3 linked regions of the Canis lupus familiaris genome follow. The protein of the gene in region 1 purifies or fractionates together with the protein of each later gene. This does not show direct contact. Links are inferred from orthologs where the notes say so. Each region holds a gene or a part of one and is shown in the gene's direction. Other genes may lie near its edges.

Region 1 (6,832 bases):
CATTTTATTTTATTTATTCACGAGAGACACAGAGAAAGGCAGAGACACAGGCAGAGGGAGAAGCAGGTTCCCTGCGGGGGGAGCCCAGTGCAGGAGTTGATTCCAGGACCCTGGGCCTGGCCAAAGGCAGATGTTCAACCACTGAACCACCCAGGTGCCCAGTTTTAAGGGTTTAATGAGATAATGTTAGCCAATTGTCTGACCCTGTTAGAATCATACACCAGTTGCTAGCACTCTTCCTTTTCAAACTGAGGGAAGGCCCCAGAGATTTATTTTCTGATATTATTCCTTCCTTCCTTCCTTCCTTCCTTCCTTCCTTCCTTCCTTCCTTCCTTCCTTCCTTCCTTCCTTCCTTCCTTCCTTCCTTCCTTCTAGATTATTTCTAAACTTCTTAAAGGGTATCTCAGTCAGGGCTCTATTAGGACGGTTGAGGTCTAGGGGAACATAGGAAATAGAAGAGGGACCAAGGGAATAGCAGGGCACTCACTACCTGTAGGCCCAAAGGGATGAGGGGAAGAAATGAAAGCTGGGCTCCAGGTGACCTCACTGGAAGGGAATCAGGAGAATACGTAGCCTTACTTTCTCCCTCAGATGATCTCTTGCTGGGTCTTCCTATTGTAAGCCAGAGAGTTGAGAGCTCCATAATGTCAGCCATATAGGTCAACCCTTAGGGCACAGGGCAGATGGGAAAGAATGGAGAATGAATCTGGGGGGCTAAGGAAGTTATCCAACCTTACTATATCCAAGGTACCTGCTATGCAAGGGATAGAGAAGGTAAACATAGTCTAATTCTCAGCAGACTCATGGCTGGAATGATAGTCAAACAGAACTTTAATTTAGTACAACCAGCACAGTGTGTTATGGGCATATAGATGAGAGGCATCTCTTTCATAACTTAAATGTCAGAGATAGTGGGGGTGGTGGTGCTGGTGGTTTGACTGGGAAAGTCTTTCTGGAGATTAAGATTCATAGCATAATTCAGAGTCCATTTTAAAGTATGACAATTTGATCCCATTTTAAAATATGACAATTTTTAAAGAAGATTAAATGCTGTTCTCTGAAAGATTTTTTTGATGAAATAGAAGAAGATGGGACTAGGGCATGGAAGTGAGGATGAGAAGTGAGGGATAGAATGACATAATTTCAAAAGTTTTTCCTAGTTTTTGTGTTTTAATAATTTAGCTTTTTGCTGTCTTGTTAGTTCTGAACTATAAGTCCGTCGATGTTTAGTAAATGAAAAGGAGTATAAAATTTTATAACAATCTCTTTTTTGCAGAACCTGACTTCAGGGTTCAACAACGAATGGTCTTAAATTTAACATAACTAAATTTAATGGGGAATATAGTGCTTTGAAAAATAAATCATGTAAGTTTATTACATATGGAAACAATGCAAAAAAGAGGAAAACGACTATTAGACAAGTCTAATTTGGATTAATATTCACAAAGTTCCTTTATTTAACATTCTCTTCATAGACTTTGCTCTAACCTTCAAGAAACCTCTATGACTCTACACCTGGATAATTTCTAATGAAAGCAAACTCATTACATAGCACCTTAGATGATCATAAGAAAGATATTTATATACGGAACTTCATGTTAAATGGTATCCTAAAAAGATAGATGCAGGAAGGGATCAAATCACAATGAGGTCAGGGCCTTCGGAAAAGGTTGGGGGAGACAGGTGACAAGAAGGAAGAGAAACTTTTCTTGACTTCTTTTCTGTGCACCATAATTTGTTTTAGGTTTTCCAGGTGATCCAAGCGAACAGCTGGCAAGACCACAGTGCATGAAATCTGTGCACTGGGATCTCACCGCAGTCCTAATTTTCTTTGTAATCAGACGTAATTATAGCGAAATGTAGTGAGGAGTTTGTCCACAATCAACATCAAACAAGAATTTCCAGTAGTATCCCTCGTGCTGTAGCTACAAACGTCAAACCGGGCGGGCGTAAAACACAGCCCATAATTATAAACAACTAGAGACAGAAGCGTGGGCAGTTAGTGACACTTCAAAAGGCTGCACAAGATGCTTGGGATGTGTCTTTGGGAAATCCAGAGAAGAAATGAGTCAAATAGGATTGGGGCAAAAGCCAATTTTCGGAGGCAGATGCGGAGCGGCAGCTCTCAGCGGCTCCAGGGAAGGTGCATCCCCCGCCCCCGGCCAGCACAGACAGGCCCCGGGTCCTAACTAGGCCTTGGTCCGCGGGTCTCCGCGCCCTTTTTCCGCTCGCAGCTCGGGGGCCGGCGCTTGACTCCGCCTCCGCCTCGGCCTCGGCCTCCGCCTCCGCCTCGGCCCCGCCCCCGCCCCCGCCCCCGCCCCCGCCCCATCAGGGCCCGGCTCCGCCCACCAGCCTGGGCCGCCGCTGGCTCCGCCCACTCTCCCCGGGCGGCGGAGGGGCGGGGCTCGGCGGAGGGGCGGGGCTGGGCGGGGCTCGGCGGGGCGGGGAGGGGCGGGGCGCGGAGGCCGCGGCGCTCGCGAGCGGGAGGAGGATCCGCCGCGGACTTACGGGAAAGTTGGTCCGAGTTCCTGGAGGTTTTCCCCGGGGACTCGGGGGCTCGGCCGGCCGGTGCCCGGCTCCTGTCCTCCCTGCGTCCTTCAGCGCCCACCGGGGCCGTTCCTCTGTCGCCGGCCGCCATGGAGCAGCCGCCAGCGCCCAAGAGGTAACGCTCGCGGGGAGCCGGGAGCCGGGAGCCGGGAGCCGGGAGCCGGGAGCGGAGGGAGGGCGGGGGGGCCGGCGGCCGCGGGCGGGGGCGGCTAGGCCCGAGCTGGCGGCGACCCCTCCGCGGCGGCGGGGCCCGGGCCGGGCGCGTCGGCCGTCGCGAGGCGGGGCCGGGCCGCGGCTGCCCCCAGGCCCGGGGCGCCGCGGGGAGGCCGAGCCTGGCGTCTGCCGCGGCGGCCGGGCCTGGCGGCGTGGGGAGTCGCTGGGGAGTCGCTGGGGAGCGGCTGGGGAGCGGCTGGGGAGCGCCGGCCTCCCCGCCGCGCTCCTGGGCCTCTTCCTCCCGGCGAGTCTCGGAGCCCGGGACGCGAAACGGGGCATGCATTAGGCTGCTCGCAGCCTTCTCGGCGCTTTTGTCCAGTGTTTCTCGTGATACTGCCATTTATTTGAGAAGGCGGATTATTTGTTTCCCGTCGAAGGAATTCCGTAGGAACAGCTACGTAGTGTGTGGACCTTGAGGGTGTACCGCACTGACAGGTGTTCCTTCCTCACCGCCCTCAAGTTCAAAAGTATTTATGGATGCGAGACAGTAGGAATCCTAAATTAGAACCCCTTCCCCGCATAGTGCTTTGTTTTGTTTTCTAGCATATAGAAGTAGTGATGCTTTGGTATTTACTGTTAGTTTGATCTTTGATATATTGGAAGAGTGAGAGTACACAGTAGATACTTTTAAAAGTAGTATTTGAAATGATCAAGCTAAATCAAGGCTGCCCAGAGATATAAATTCATAATGTGCATCTTTTTTCCCCCCAAGAATGAATCAACGTCATTTAACTGGTGTTGTTTAAAACATGTAATCTCAGTCTTTCATTTGTAATTTATAAAATAAGAGTACTAATCTTTCTCCCAGAGAGTGCTGTTGTGAAGATTAAGGAGTTCCTGTGTTCTGATACTTAGAGATCTTTAGACGAAAGGTGATATATTCAGGAACATGGAATAATTAAAAAGGTAGGAACTTTGTGAGCTGTTGTGAATCGTGTGACTAGACATGTGAGCCTTGAGGCCTGGAAACCATCTGTTCAGGTGAAAAAAGGTGGGTGTGTGGAAGGGCGTCCAAAAGAGACTTGTTATCAGAGCCCTTGATTTTTGTCTGGTATTTTGTATTGAATTCTCGTATTGATTGGGCACCCAGTTTTAGTATCTTAGAAGAAAATTGGAAACTTTTTTTCTTCTCTGTTTTGGAAGGACTGTAAGGGGGCCACCTCTGAGATGATGCCCAAAGGTCAAGTTGAACAACTCCAAATTGAAGTAGAAGCTCTATTCATTCATTGGCTGTAAATTATCGGTTTCTTTATAGGTATAAGAGATCCTCTGGCCTTGCAGGGGCTCTAGAAAACCTAGAAGGGCCAGGGGGAGATGTGGGTGGTATATATAACCATTTCATGGTCATTTATACTTTACAAAGTGATGCTTGCACTCCAACAGGCTCATTTTTAGTTCTCTTCAGACAGACTTCGTTGTTCCAGGAAGGCATTTCTGGAAAGCAAGCTATGTGACATTAAGCCCATATATTTGAATGTCACTTAAATTTTTTTCATAGCATTTTCATTTTCATAATATCATCATAGCAACCCTATTACGTAAGTTTGATTACAGGAAGTAATCCTGTTTTGTAGCTGAGGACACAAAGAGTTTGCTCCATGGAAGGCTATGACAGGGATTACTGAAAGTGAGTTTTTGTGTCCTCCCTATTGATTATTACCTTCTAATAATAAAATATGCCATTTTTGAGGTCATTTTTTCCCCCAGGAAATTTGTATATGCATTCCTTTATTTTATTGTCATAAGAAAGAGGAATCATGGCTCTGCAGCTTATTACGCTAGTTCTAAATTTAATTTCTTCATCTGTAAAGTGTGTTACGGGGATTAGAATAGGTCATGTGTAAAAGCACTTAGCACAGTGCTCCATAATGTGTTGAACGACGCTAAATGTTGGTTTATTTTTTCCTTATTAAATGAAACTCAGAGAGGTTAAATAATTTGGTCAAGTGGAGGAGTTGCCAGAACCCTGAATCTGATTGGCTGCAAAGGCTGTGAACCCTCTCATTGTGTACAGTGATACCTCTTTTTAAAAACACTTCTTTTAGCCTTCCATGGTGTGGTGGCCATGTCTTTGTACGATCCTGTGGGCCCTCTGCTTGTTCTTTTCCTAATCCCTGTAAGAATGTTGCTTTGCTTTTCTGCCTTGCATAGGAGCACTTCCTTAGGGCTCAGACATTTTTACATGGTCACATTTATGTTGCTGATGTTCAAGTCTGTATGACCAGCAGGTGTGTTCAGTTGGAATATTTGATATTTTTATGCAGATCCATTCTTTCATTATTCTTTCTAGTTTGTCACTAAGTCCTATTGAATTCTCCATCAAGAAGTCTAGATTCATTTTCTTTTCTGTTTTTCATTTTTGATACTACTACTCCATACCTGGGTTTTATGACCGTCATACTTGATTTACAGCAATGCCTTCCAACTAGGTACTTTAGGGCAGTGGTTTAAAAAATTTTTTAGCAGGAAGGCTGTGTTTGGAGTAGAGGCAGGCACTAGGACCTGGTTCTCACTGCCTTATCTCCTTCTACTCCCCTTTTGCTGCCTGCAGAACCTCCTAATGATCCATAGGACACTGCCTGCAATGGCTTTTGATTTGTTTTCTTAAAGCATCACTTTCACCATGCTATTCCCTTTAAAAAAATTTTTTTTTTAATTTTTAAAAATTTTTTGGTTTGGGGCACACTTGTTTACTTAGTATCCAAGACCCCTATCACTTGGTCTCAGATTTAATCCCCAGGCTTTTGTTATTCTTCTCCAAGATGAATCTGTCCTGAAGTTTCCCTTTTGTTTTTTATTTAGGTTGTAGGGTATGGGTACTCCCAACTTTGCCTTTGTTCAGGCTTTTCCTTTGGAGAAGTTTGTATTATTTTTTGCTACGAATCTGTGTTTTATTCTTCCTTAAAGGCCGGCTTCATATAGAATCTTATTTGAGTGCTTTCTAGCCTAAGGTATTCCTAATATATCCATTTGAATATATGCCATCTTCATATTTTTCTTTTTTTTAATTACAAAATTTTAGCTATTCAAAAGGTAATGGGGACTAATTTAATAACTACTTATGTATTATGCTACCCAACTTGAGAAATAAAATATTGTGAATATAGTTGAAGGTCCCTAAGTATATCTGTTTTCAGATACATTCCCTCCCTATCCCCCAAAGGATTGTCACTACTTGGGTATTTGTTACTGAGTATTTGTTATTCCTTTACCATACATGTCTTTATATTTTTAGCATGCCATTCATGTATATCTGACCCAGTGTTAGGCCTGCCTTTGCTCTTTGGTATCGTTCTTGTCCTCTGGGAATTGGAGAGTCCACTGGGCAGCCAGATCTGAGAATTGTGACTAGAGGGTCTGGAAGGCCGCTCTTACCTTTACATCATTGATTTGGTCTCACCAACAAGGCTGTGTGGTCACTTAAAGTCACTGACTTGAGGTATCAAAATAGCTTTTAGATTCCCTGGGTTTCCTTAACGGATCTGTCACAGAGGTCCCCTTTGGGAATGGAAGACTGTTCAATGGTTATTAATTGTTAGCATTTTGGTAAGTTGAATTTCTCAGATTTTTTTGTAGGGGAACTACTAGATGGAGGAAAAATGACCCCACAGCAGGTAAGTTTTAACAGATAGAAGAGGGAATGTTGGAAGCATAAGATTTCTTAAAAGGCGGGGGTGGAGCTCTGTGATAGGTGGTGGGTAGCATGGAAACTGGTTGCTTGAGGATAGGTAGTTATATAAACAATATTTGTTAGAGGATAGAATATCATTGCTGGAGAGATACACTTTACCAGATGGGCTTTGCTCCTCAGTTTGATTATAGGATTAATAGTTACTTAAAATTTAAAAATCGTTAAAGTGTACTTGGAGGAAAAGTTGGTGTGGAACAGTGAAAACACTGGAAGGATAATAAGAGAGTAAGCTACTGAAATTTATTCTCAAGACAGATAAGGAAAGTTCTTTGATTTAAACCATGGTTGGATTCTTTGCAATTTTTTTTTCTTTTATATAAAAAGATGTGAAAAGGTAGTTAGGGGGAAGTAAAGTTGAAGATTCAAGTTAAAATGCTAGGG
Region 2 (6,219 bases), about 62 Mb from region 1:
GGTAAAAATAAGTAGTTGCCCAGTTTTATGTATTCTAATCACTAAGATGCATTGAAGATTGTTAGTATCCTGTATATAAATCATAATGTTTTAGGAAAAAAGTTTCTCATATACTTTCCTCCTTCGTAAATTGCATTCACAGTAGTAAAGAGCCTTAAAGATAAGCACCACATCTTACTGAGAGCCATTCTACCTAAAAATGCTTTGAATACAATGGGAACTCAAAGCCTGTTGGAAGAAGGAACACTTTTATATCTTAACTCTCCTAAGAGCATTGCGAGATATCTGTGTGAACAATGGATTATTTTGGTTTCTCCTAATTCCATTTGCATACACATTTTACAGAAGCTGTACGATCTTGTGTTTCAGGGTATAACTGAATTGTCAATTTTGCTTCAAGTGAGGACAGAAGTATATAAAGCACACGATGACCATCCTGGTGTAAATAGAATTTTAATAAATGAAATCATTATAATTTGGACTATGCCTACCTGTGGAGGCTCTCCATGCTATATTAATGCTATAAATCTGAAAACCATTATGAATAGAACTGATGTAATTTACATGATTCACTACTTTTCAGGGGAATGACACGCTGGGGGGAGTTTGACGATCTTTACCATATTAGTGATCTGGATAGGACCCAGATTCCAGAGCCTGAAGCAACAGTTTCCCAAGGAGGTAAGTATCAAACTCTTATTAATGGAGAGACCTCTTTTTTAATGTAAAGCATGAATCCTAAAAGTTTCTCTGATATTTAGCATTTTGCGCACCACTATTTAATAAAACTTTTATATTAAAAAAAACTCTTAGGATCATATTAAGTCACTACAATGCTCATATGATATTTAAGAACTTTACTATATAAAAATATGATGATTTTTATTTATTTTTCAAGATTTATTTATTTATTTGAGAGAGAGAGCATGATGGGGAGGGGCAGAGGGAGAGAAAGAAGGAGAGAAAGATGTCGAGGAGACATCCCACTGATCACAGTGCCCCACACAGGGCTCCACCTCATGACTCTAGATCATGACCTGAGTGGAAACCAAGAATCAGATGCTCAACCAACTGCACCACTCAGGCGCCCTACAGCTATTTTCAAAATTACACCAACTCACTTAGATTTATTAGATTAGGGAAAGCTAATGAATTGAATAAATCTGTATATGTAAAATTCTTCAGTATTTTCCCTAGGGATTAGGATCATTTATTATACTCAGTAGTTTTTTATGTTAGACCAATCCCCTCAGACTGAATTCTACATCTTTTTAGAAGGTGAATGTTTTAGTTAGTTAATAAGTCTTTACATAACACCATTTCCCCCAAAAAAGAGGCAGATATACTGAAATCAGTATATTTGATAGAGTCATTTCAACCATTTCTTTTAAAAAGAGAAATCAACTTAAACATCAAATAAGTTCATATCGAACTCACACAAACCAATGGTAAATGGCAGCTCCTATGACACGTGACATCGGTAGCCACAGTGATGATGTGAAGGTAGTAATATTAGTAGCTACCATTTACTGAGACTCTGCTAAGTGTCAGCCATGATATTGTGTATCTTACATAGATATGGGGAACCAAGAAGGGAGGAGCTGGTGACTGAGGCTGGGGGCAGAGTTTATGTTTCTGGGGTCGTCCTATTACAAAGCTGATTTCAGACTTTTCTCGTCAACATTATCTTATTAATCTACCAACAACTTCCAATGTTTATTTTTTCCAAGCCTTTCTCAACGCAGTTTTTTCTTCTGTCTCCATAAAAACCCACATTCAATAACTAACATAATGTTCCTTCCAAGATTCCCCTATCTTTGATGGCTCTTGGCATCTTTTATATAAAGGTCCTTCTAGTTAGCCTGTTGAAAACATTTCTCTAAACTCAGGGGAGGGATCCCTGGGTGGTGCAGTGGTTTGGTGCCTGCCTTTGGCCCAGGGCACGATCCTGGAGACCCGGGATCGAATCCCACAGTCCGGCTCCCGGTGCATGGAGCCTGGCTTCTCCCTCTGCCTATGTCTCTGCCTCTCTCTCTCTGTGTGTGACTATCATAAAAAATAAAAAAATAAATAAACTCAGGGGAATCCTAATTTCTTGGTATCGAAGATACCATAAAAATCTATTTGTATCCAAGCACCAGTGCTAGAGGAAGATAAAATATCTCAAGACTATTGGATGATACTCTAATTAATTAGGAAATTTTTTAAAATCCCAAAGTAAAACGGAACACTATTTCCTACTGTTTGAAAACATTATAGTTCACTGCCTAGCTATATATTTTCCTATTAAATACATATACAAATCCACCCAAGGAGGTAGGCGGCTAATGATATGGCCCTTATAATCTTTATTCTTCCCAGATTATTTATCTTATCACAGTAGCACTCTGAAGCCTTATGCAGAAGAAGAGCCAGAATCCCCATTGCTCTATCGAACCATGAGTGAAGCAACCCTGGTGAGAAAAAGGATGAAGTCTCCAATGATGGACAGAAAAGAGAGACAGAAGCATAGGGCCTCTATTAATGGGCACTTCTATAACCATGAAGTGAGTCATAATTCCATTAATGTCATTTAAATGATGTCTGTTTTCCTAACAATACCACTCAACTCAACTTACAATTAAAAATAGTAATAAAATAGTAGTAGTGTATCTAACATTTATTGGGTACTCACTATGTGTTAGGTATTAAACTGTTTTAAGTTGGATTCTGATTATCTCATTAATCACTGAAACAATCCTTTGAAATAGGTACCATTATTTTCCCTGCCTGTGTTCACTGAGGCTCCAGAAGTTAAGTAATTTGTCTTAGGTCACAGTACTTTTAAGTAGCAGCTCTGAACTTGAAGCCAGCTTTGTCTGACTCCAGAACCCAAGTATTAGCCGACGTGATGGATGAGCCCTATCTAAGGGTCTGGTTCTGTGCCAAGCACTATAAAGATGGCTCAGTTAATGCCTCTGCCCACATGGAGCTCGGGTCTCGGGCAAGGAAACCAGTACATCAACAAATGGCATTAGAATAATGTAAGGGCTGCAATAGAGAATGGTTCAAAGTACATTTGAACATTAACATTTAAATAAAGAAAAAAAAAACAGCTACAGACCTTTTATTCCAATGAATCAAATTTCTCATCTCACAGCGTTCCTTTCCGGGTCTTGAACATATAGATGTATTTTTTTATGTAAGCGTAGTTATACTTTGGATATAATTTGTATTCTAATTTTTCACTTAATGTTTTAAATTTATGTGTTCCTTTCCACAGTTTTTGTAAGACATTTCACTTTGTTGATGGTGGGAAATAGATCAGAACTGAAGTTTTTCATGTCATGTATTTCAGCAATTATTCATTCATTTAATAAATACTTAAAAAGCACTTATTCTGTGCCAGGTACCATCCTAAGCCCTTTAATACAAAATGTTAACTCATTCATCTGAAGCTTTTTTGCCTTGTTCTTTCTTCTACCCTTGGGAACATATCCAAGGTGCGCCTTTGGAGACTGGTGGGGAGAAACCTCCCTTGTGAATTCTCTGTTCAAATTCAACATTTTTCGGGCTCAAGAATTTCCCCTTAGCCATTGACAGTCCCGCATAGATGTGCAACTACCAATTGCCCTGGTTTTTATTCCTTATAATTATGCTGTGTCATCATCTTGTGGGGGTTGTTGGTGTTAAAGAAGGCTGTAAAGACCTCACTGTTCCAAATGAACAGCCGCCAGCGGGGCCCCCCTGTGCTAAGAATGAAATTGATGAGAAGTTGGCCGCAGAGTATCCTGGTTAAATGCTGGACGGCTGCAGCTTGACACCCTGATTTCAAATTCTTGATGACCGAAGTTAAAAAAAAATACCTCCATCTCTTAGCTTTCGTTCTTTTATCCTTCCTACTTTGCAGGTTGATGGGACTAAATGGAATGAGGTGAGCTAAGCACTGAGCACAGTGTCTGGCACAAAGAAAAACTCAATTTACATTAGTTTCATTTTTGTTGGTTAAAAGAGATCAAGCTGGAACCACACATATGTCATACAGATGCCATTCGCTGCAATTTAATAACTAGCAGAAAACAGAACAAACCCTCAAGCCCCAAAGCACTCCATCGGTGAACGTGCTGCAAGAGGCATCTAGGAGTTTAAGTCGATATAGTCATAAGATGTGTTTTTATGTCACAGAACCCCATGATAACACCAATATTGTTAGGATATGAATAACAGCCATATTAGAGACTTAGATTATGATATTTGTACATAAGTTATGACTATTGACGACCTGTGGTATGCTTCTACCCGTGCAATAAGAAACCATTTTATTCCATTGTGTGTTTTGGCCAAGTAAAACTCTGAAAAACATGATTCCAAGTTCATTGTATGTTGGCACTTTGGAAGGGCTCTTGGAGATCATCTAGTCCCACTCTCTTATTTTACAAATGAAATCCTCGAGGCTTCTTAAGGCCTCAATGTTAAGTGAACTAACAAAGTTGGAGTTAGGAGACTCTATGATCTAGGGCTCTGAGTCTTAATCTAGTGCTGTTGCCAAACTCCATAAATATTTTTCATATAAACAACATAATCATGTATGTAACATACTCTCGCCCTAGTACTAGATGAACACATGGGTCTACAGGACTCCATGGAACTCATAAGCACCAGTCAGATGTTTCACAGAGTGACTCATTAATGCCTCACAATGTGCACAAACACTGAATTTTCTCACACTTAGCAAGAATTTATCCCAGAAATCCTCCATATATCTGCTTCAAAAAGTTATCTCCATACCCATATTTCTATTCACACAGATGTTGTGCATATATGCACTTTGATATTTACTCACTGATTTCCCAATAAAAGGCTCATCTAACAATCCACTGAGCCACCCCAGAGCCCACCCATCTCCATGTCTGCTGAACCGAACTCATTTCTAGAGTCTTGGAACACTATTCATGTTACTTTGCATTTGTGTTTAGTCATAGTTAATTTAATTTAAAATCTTGAACCACATTGAACAATGAGATGGTTATCTAGTGAAAATGTTTCGAACATCCTCAAATGATGTTTTACCCGACTTACTCTAGAAACAAACAATGTAAAGCTGCTTAAAAGGATACATAATATCCCAACAACAAAGAAAGCAAGCACAAAAGAACAAAAGTTTTAAACTGGTGATTTGGGATTTTTTTTTTTTTTCACATAAGAGGGTAAGAAGGCCAGGTTCAACATATTGATTCTTGTTAGTTTGATGTAATGTTAAGAACTTTGTTTTCTTCCCAGACATCGATTTTCACTCCAGCCTTTGGGTCAGAAACTAAGGTCAGAATAAATAGTAATATGAGGACTGAAGAAGTAATAGAGCAACTTCTCCAAAAATTTAAGGTAATCTTTATCACAAAACTGAGCTAGAACTGTATTGGATATAATTTAACTGCAGATACATAAATGCACTCTTCTGAAGAAGACCTATCAACATATGATCTAAATTAAGTTGTTCACTTCTGAAGAATTCTTTCTTAAGTATAACATCTCTTTGTAAATGAGCCTTGAGAAATTACTTTAGCCCTAGTGAGCAGAGCTGTTTTCATGTCTAAAAGTGCAAACTGAGAGTGAGGAAACAGATTATTTGGGTCAGGTTAGTTTAGAAAACATCTGACAATGACCAATCAGTCAAATATGAAAGAATTCATGTACGTTTATTTTTTTGCATTGACAGATTGAAAACAGTGCCCAAGATTTTGCACTTTACATTACTTTTGCAACAGGTGGTAAGTTTGATCACTCTTTTTATATGATTCCAGGAGGTTGTAGTTTTATGTCCACGGGGGAGGCAGAAGACAGTTAAACCTCATTCTGTGGAAGAAAGGGAAAGAAAAGAGCAAGATGGAAACGAGGGAGGGTGTTTTAGAAGATTATTCATATCTCAATTTCAGAGGAAGGATAACTTAAGAATAAGGTATCCTAGAAGAGCTTATAATACAGAAGAGTTCATCTGCTATTTGGCCAGACATTAAATTACCTGAATGGTGGTCAGACCTGGGAGAGTCTGTGGAAAGTTCCCAAGGATTGTTATGCACTGAAGTTGTTGACTTCTATACCTCTTTCTTTTTGACTTTCCCTTCTCATTCTAGCTCTTACTGGAGCCATCAATGCAAACCATCTCTCTCTGATCTTGTTATTACCGCTTTCTTAGCACTGTGTCTGCGGCATTGCAGGAGTGTTCTTTCTCCCTCAGTAGAG
Region 3 (6,980 bases), on another chromosome or scaffold:
TCATTAGGGATTTGTGGAGGGGCCTTTATTACTTTGTTCTACATAAGCCTAAAAGTTACCAGAAATGAAAACTTTTCATCTTCTTATATTAAAACTTTTCAACATAGCTTTATTTATTTATTTATTTATTTATTTATTTATTTATTTCCCAGAGTAAAGAACCTGGAACACAGTAGTAGTTCAATACCTATTTGCTGAACTAGTGGAGTCCTAGCAAAGTACACAAATACACAGGGTCTCTATACTTTATAATCGAATGCATATTCTTTTCTCCAGACCCACTTTGTGCCATCCCTACTTTATCCTGTGATGAGTTACAGTATGTAATTTTCATTCATGCATCAAGTATTTATTGTCACTATTATGTGCCAAGCATATGGGTCCACTGTTTCGAATAGCTTTGTTCCTTTCTCGCTAGTCTCTCTCCCTGGAAATTTAAGAAGCTCTTCAGCAAATACTGCATTGACCGTGGTTTCCCTACCTTCCTTCAGTTCAGTTACCTCCCCCAGAAGGCCATCCCTGTGATACCTCTAGTACTCAGGGCTTGCTTCCATCTTGGCCCTCATTACATCAGAGTGAAACCATCTGTGTCTATGTTTGTCCCCTCCCCCCCATCCCCATCCTACAAAACCCGAGGTGCGGTTTCAGGGATTGAGGTTTTTTGTTCACTTGTGTCCCCAGGGCCCAACACACAACTTTAGGACAGGTAAGAAACGGCCCAAACCCTAGATCCCACAATAACAAGTGAGTTACCCATGATCTCCAAGTTATATAGATGAGAAAAGGAGGCTTGAAAGGGTTTAGCAAAGTTTCAGAAAAAGCCCAAGGTCACACAGTGGTAGAGCCTGTTGTCAGAGCAATTTGAAGAATGAAGCCACCCTTGGTTCATAAATGAATAAAACTCCTTCCCACCATATCTTTTCTTGAAAAGTTTTCCTTTAGACCTCTGGAAGTAACACGATTTTAAACTTTCTGAACTCACACTCTTTCCGGGGTAGAATATGCTTTGGAGTCCTTGGGGGTGCGTGACAGGTCCCAAGAGAAGAAGGGCCATTCGAAATGGAATGCGGGGACTAAGTTTCTCTCTGAGGAGGATTCACAGAAGACTAATTTTTGATGCACAAGTCCTGAGACTTGTGGGAATTTGGGCACACCTAAGGCGGCGGTACGGGACTGTGTTGCCCACAGCTAAGATGACTGCAAATGAACATCTCCTTCGGATGGGTCTGCTCTCTTCGTTCATGGGTATTTTCACTGAGAAGTATAGTGAATACAATTTAGCAAAAGTTGGGGTCTTCTAGCCGAGCTGGTAACGTAGGAAGCTGGCACGTTTTGTCCGGAAAACCTTCAACAGGTCCACTTTTCCCCTGCCCTTAACAAAAATGGCCGTAAGGGTTGTCCCCAGGGTCTGAAGCTCCCAGCCCTTAACTAACATGGCGTCCGGAGGCGCGTTAAAAAGGAGCTTGCCCTCTCTTCTGCCCTTGACCATCATGGCCTCCGTGGCGTCGAACACGTGACGACCCCGGACTACGGCGCGGGAGAGGGGGTAGGAGGGCCCTTGAAGGGTGCGCGTTCCCGTGGCGGTGCACCGGGTAGGTTTCAGTCAGAGTCACTATGGCGGCCGGCGCTGGCAAGGTAAGCTGAGGCGGCGGCGGCGGCCGGGGAGGCTGGACCCGTCGTGGCGTCCGGGCCTTAAATCCCCGCAGCTTGTCCGCGGAGAGGTCGGCCGAGGTCGTGGCCCATCGCAGGGACTGGCGGGGGAGGGGGGGGGCGCGGGTGGAAGGGGGTGCGGGCTGAGGCGGGCGGGCACCGGCGCCTGACGGCCGTTTGTTTTGATGTTTTCCCCACCAGGTCGGAAAGTTTCCTGCCTTGTCGGGCACAGCCTGAGCCTGCCCCACCGGCCGCGAGTGGTGGAGGCTGCGGCGGACCCAGCCCGGGGCCTCCAGGCCTCTCCCCCAATCTCCGGGCCAGCCTCCCTCCCCCACCTTCTCGTCCGCTGGGAGCCGTGGCCGCCGTCCCTGAGATGCGACCCTCGCGGGGGCAACCCTGAGACAAGGCGGCCGGTGTGCTGAGCCACTGCCCGGAGCCCAGGCGTCCAGGCGTCCAGGCGTCCAGGCGCCAACTTCCTGCGGGCCGAGACCCCCGAGCCTCCCCGGGCGTGCGCCTCGCTCGCTCCGCACCGGCCTGCCCAGCCGGATCCCCGCCCTGGGCGCGGGGACGCCCGCCAGGTGCCCGGGAGTCCCGGCTCGGCCGCTGCCCGCGCCTTTGCCTGTCCCCGCGCCTCGCGCCGAGGACCCCAGCCGCCGCCGCCGTCTCGGCTCGTGCCGGGGACCCCGTGCCAGCTCCCGGGCGGTCCTCCGCGCAGCAGGAGCCATGCAGACCGTCCCGCTGGCGATCTAGACCCCCTCGCCGCCCCCCTCGGCCCTGCCCTTCCACTCCCGAGGCCCTTGAAGACGGGCGGTGGCTGCCCAGAGGTGCTCGGCGACACCTTCCTTCGCCCCGAAAGGACCTTCCTGGCCGCACGGAACCGACCGTTCCTTCATGCTGCAGTGCTGCAACGTTTCCGCCACCGAGGGGGAAAAGCGGCCGAGATCCCAAACAAAACACAAGAACTGGCGTGTGACTCATCTGCTTGGATACCTCCAGCCCCCAAACTGTCTTCCAGGAGTTTTCTTGGCCGAAGCTGTCTGATGTTCGAGCCTTCTCTTCCCAGGGAAGAAGATGGACTGAAAGCTGCCAGTTGGGGACTTTGTGCGATCAGGGCGCTGCTGAGTTTTAAAGGAGGTGATGGGGCTTGCGCTGGCTTGTCTTCCCACTCAAGTGAAGAGTTGTTGATGTTCACTGGTTATGCTTAGACAATGCGCAGTTTGTTTTAATTTAAAATTTTGGGGGGGATAGGAAGATAGGCTTGTGAAGGGCAGTCCGGATCCGGTGGAACTCCTCTTTGTCCTCTGGTAGGAGAGACACCCCCCAGTCTGTCCTCGATGCCGTCAGCCTTGGCCATCTTCACTTGCCGCCCGAACTCGCACCCGTTTCAGGAGCGCCATGTCTATCTGGACGAGCCTATTAAAATCGGCCGCTCCGTGGCCCGCTGTCGACCGGCGCAGAATAATGCTACCTTTGATTGCAAAGTGCTGTCAAGGAACCATGCTCTCGTCTGGTTTGATCACAAGACGGGCAAGGTAATGTCACCGTATTATCTAACAGTCTTTCCTTTTCGTTTCCCTTTGCTCCTTTTGCATAATGTATGCAGAATCCCAGCGTTTGCACCCAAGCGAGGCTTTTCAGCAAGGCCGTGGAAACCAACTTTGTGTGTGTCTAGTTCTACTGGAAGTTTAGTTGAGGTGGTTGAATGGAAAACAGAGAAGGTATTGTAATTAAATGCCTCGGGAGGGCGATGGCATCTTGATAATGTGGTCCTTCCCAGTGAAATCCCAAACCCTAATTCATTTTGGGGAGGGGGGTGGAAACTAGATAGTGAAACTTGGCTTCTCGCTTCCAGTCTTTTTAGAAAGGTGAATTTGCCGTTCAGGGCTTGAGTAAGCAAGCAGCAGTTCCCAAAGCAATGCAGGGAATCTATGGTCAGTGTTAACACTGAGGCTCAGGTGTCTCAGTGGTGAGATGTAGTTAACACAGCTTTTAGTTGAGTCCAGATTGGGGTCTTTCTAGGAAGGACAGATGTTTGTGTAAACTTAACATTTTTGACAGATTTGATACGTGTATTTACCCACGAAGGAGTAATTTGCAATTTTCAAAGCCAATTTCATTAAGCATAAACAACTGTAACTTTACATTTTCAGAGTTTTGTTTGCAGCTTGAGTGAACAGACATATATTGCTTTTGAAAATCACTTTTTGGCATTCCCTGCAAGAACTTATTAAAAATACCTAATGCATACTTACAGAGGAGATACTTAAAAAAATCAGTGTTAGGAAATTAATTTATTTTCTGAGATTATATCCAATTGTATCAAATACTGCATTACCTAGATGGGATAGGATGAATTTAATGCTCTTTAAGTGTGACCCTTTTGCATTTTTGTGTTGGCACCCTAATTTCCTTACCTGTAGGTGCTTATATTTTAAGAATAGAAGAAAACAAATAAGTCCCTTTCAATTTTAAGAACTTTTTATGTGTGTGGAGAATATACTAAAAAAAACTCATTTTTGTGCTTTTACCTCGGGTTTTAGTTGAACTACTGAATCAGTTCCAACTTTAGAGTAAGTTATGTAAGACTAATAGGAATACCTTGGGTTTCACCTCCTGACTTTTCCCTCCCTCTTTGAGTTAAATGATTATGTCTTTTTTAAAAGAAGAATTTAAGTTTTCAGTAGTAGTATTTTGAAATGAAAGAGACCTGAGCCTCAGAAAAAAAGAGAGAAAGCAATACTTCTGTTGCTACTGAATTAAGGAATTATTATATAAATCATTTTTCAGGAAAGGAGGAAAAGATTGTGCTTGCATAATACCTATGCCCTACTCTGTGTAGGATGAGAACTGAAAAATATGTTAATTTTTCTGTATAACACCAGATGTTCACTTACCTATGGAACAGACTCTTTTTTTTCTTCCCTGGAAACTAGAGTTTGGGTGTCTGAAAGACTTCATAGATTACCCATAATCATTTAAAATGAGTATTCATAGAACCCATCTTTCTAGCTATTAAATTCAAACATCAATTAACTGCTAGTGCCCTAACTCAGCCAGCTTTTTTCTTGTCTAAGCAAAGGTCCAACTTAATCAAATAATAGGTTTGCTTAAAGTACATAATCTGCAAATGCACCTGCTTTACTTTGGTACATTACTCAAAGGAGACTTAGATATTTTCTATTACTTATTTAAAAAATAGTGATTACGTGAACAGTAGTGCTTTTCATGGCTATACCAAAACCCCCACAGTAAGGTTATTCTGTGATGGCTAAGGCTAGATCCATATTGAGTATTGTATAAATTGAGATGACATGTTAAAAAAAATTTTTTTTAAAGATTGTATTTATTTATTCATGAGAGACACAGAGAAAGAGAGAGGCAGAGACACAGGCAGAGGTAGAAGCAGGCTCCCTATAGGGAGCCTGACGTGGGACTTGATCCCAGGTCTACAGGATCAGGCCCCGGGCTGAAGGCGGTGCTAAACTGCTGGGCCCATCAGAGCTACCCACATGTTAAAATTTTGAATGTAATTTGTAATTAGAAAAACTTATTTTTTAAAGATACACAGCTTATTTCCACCATTTTCACTTTTTTTTCTGCTCTAGCTAAAAACAGGATATGAGACCATTACTTTAGGTATAAATATAATTATTGATTATTGTACAACCTAATTTGTTAAAACAACCTATCAGGTTTTGCCATGTGATTGAATTGTTTTAGGAATTATTTAAAATTTAGATTTGAACAGACAGGTTTTTATTGAGCACCTATTATGTGCCAGATATCCTGAGGTACACAATTCCAAAGAAAACCCTCAGTTTGATCAAATATCATTTACTGTTTTTTATGTGTGAAATTTCCAGTTTGAGGATTTCTGCTATAATTGTCTCTTGACAAATAAGTCATTGAGCCTAATATATATTCCCAGCAAATTCCTTTATACAACACCAGAATCCCCAACTATAAGCATCACCTCAGGCAAGTTTTTATTTTTCAAACATCTCTAAGCCTTAGTTTTCTTTTCTGGGAATAATAGTGGTACCTACTATTGTTTTGAGGATTGAGATAATCATGTAAATTACTTAGCACCCTTTTCGTGGCCCTTATTAAGGGCTTAATACTTAGGAGGGTGTTTGAGGTGGTAGGAAGAGGGATTCATCTAGGCAGCTTTTTGCAATTTGCTCTAGTGCTGTGGAGTCTTAGGAAGGTAATGAGAATTGTTTTTCTTTCTTAAGAAAGAAAGTTTTTCTTTCATATGTGATAGCATATGTAGAAGTAATCTTTTAAATTGAAACATATGAAGTTGAGAACTTTGTTCAAATTGACACTTTCCCTGGGAGGTGGAAAATTGGAGTAATATACCTTTCTGATGACTTTTACCTAATGGTTTTTGCATTCTGCACTGGCCATTGTAGGAGACCCATTAAAAGTTGGAAGAAGTAATAGATGCTGAAACTTTCTGATTATTCAAGGAATACATATTCACTGCAGAAAAGCTGCAAAACATAGGCACATGGAAATCTAGGGCACATTTTTTGGTGCTAAGTTTGTGGAATGTGTTATGGTACTGAAAACCTGCAGGTTGGAGGGTGACTGTTTTGCCACAAAGTGGAACTCAATAAGCTTTCCTAAATCATCTGCTCAGGGGTGTAGGAGTCCATTATTGCCCTGCTTGAATGCTGCCTCTCTGAATCATTCTTCACTTCTTTTGGGAGGTCAAAATTAGATGGCAGATAATAGAATAGTTATTAGTCCTTTTGTTGACCAAGGGTACCACTGAACAAGCAAATCTGCCTGTATGGTGGTTACATAGAAGGTGTAGTGAGTAGACTGCCTTCTTCTGATGGTCCCACCTGATTCGAGGCTTTGTAGGCACATAATAATCTAGTGCTTGATACAGTAGTCCATTTCCACTCTCATTATAGTTTACATAGTAATTAGTAATACGTGGTAGTAGTATTCTACTTTTAGCTTCACATTTTTACTTAAATTCAAAACATATTTTTGAGCACCTGTTCTATCATGATCTGTTTTGGTGGAGGGCACAGTGGTGAGAGGGAAGAAAACAACAAGAATTGGTTAAAAATTGTTATTCCTTCTTTCTGGGAGCTAGTGTTTTGGATACAGAGGGGGACTGCTCCCCTTAAGAACAGTTGATTGAGATAAAATAGTATTAAATAAGTTTATTTTATTTTATTTTATTTTTTTTTAATACTCATCTTTATTTATTTATTTTTTTTAAAATTTTTATTTATTTATGATAGTCACACAGAGAGAGAGAGAGAGGCAGAGACACAGGCAGAGGGAGAAGCAGGCTTCATGCAGGGAGC

What was found.
Region 2: the proteins of STK3 (region 1) and RASSF6 purify together in Homo sapiens (affinity purification with mass spectrometry; 4 studies listed by BioGRID and IntAct, counting the BioPlex papers as one, with this or other methods). This does not show direct contact. The link is inferred for Canis lupus familiaris from reciprocal best matches to the Homo sapiens genes STK3 and RASSF6.
Region 3: the proteins of STK3 (region 1) and SLMAP purify together in Homo sapiens (affinity purification with western blotting; 3 studies listed by BioGRID and IntAct, with this or other methods). This does not show direct contact. The link is inferred for Canis lupus familiaris from reciprocal best matches to the Homo sapiens genes STK3 and SLMAP.

The regions. Positions count from the first base shown.
Region 1 is NC_049234.1:1,023,459-1,030,290, reverse strand, and holds the start of STK3 (serine/threonine-protein kinase 3), read left to right. Parts: upstream 1-2,446; 5' UTR 2,447-2,636; coding exon 2,637-2,662; intron 2,663-6,832. UniProt on the Homo sapiens protein: Stress-activated, pro-apoptotic kinase which, following caspase-cleavage, enters the nucleus and induces chromatin condensation followed by internucleosomal DNA fragmentation.
Region 2 is NC_049234.1:63,356,033-63,362,251, reverse strand, and holds part of RASSF6 (ras association domain-containing protein 6), read left to right. Parts: intron 1-583; coding exon 584-681; intron 682-2,361; coding exon 2,362-2,546; intron 2,547-5,259; coding exon 5,260-5,361; intron 5,362-5,695; coding exon 5,696-5,747; intron 5,748-6,219.
Region 3 is NC_049241.1:32,992,037-32,999,016, reverse strand, and holds the start of SLMAP (sarcolemmal membrane-associated protein), read left to right. Parts: upstream 1-2,305; 5' UTR 2,306-2,984; coding exon 2,985-3,182; intron 3,183-6,980. UniProt on the Homo sapiens protein: Associates with the striatin-interacting phosphatase and kinase (STRIPAK) core complex, forming the extended (SIKE1:SLMAP)STRIPAK complex.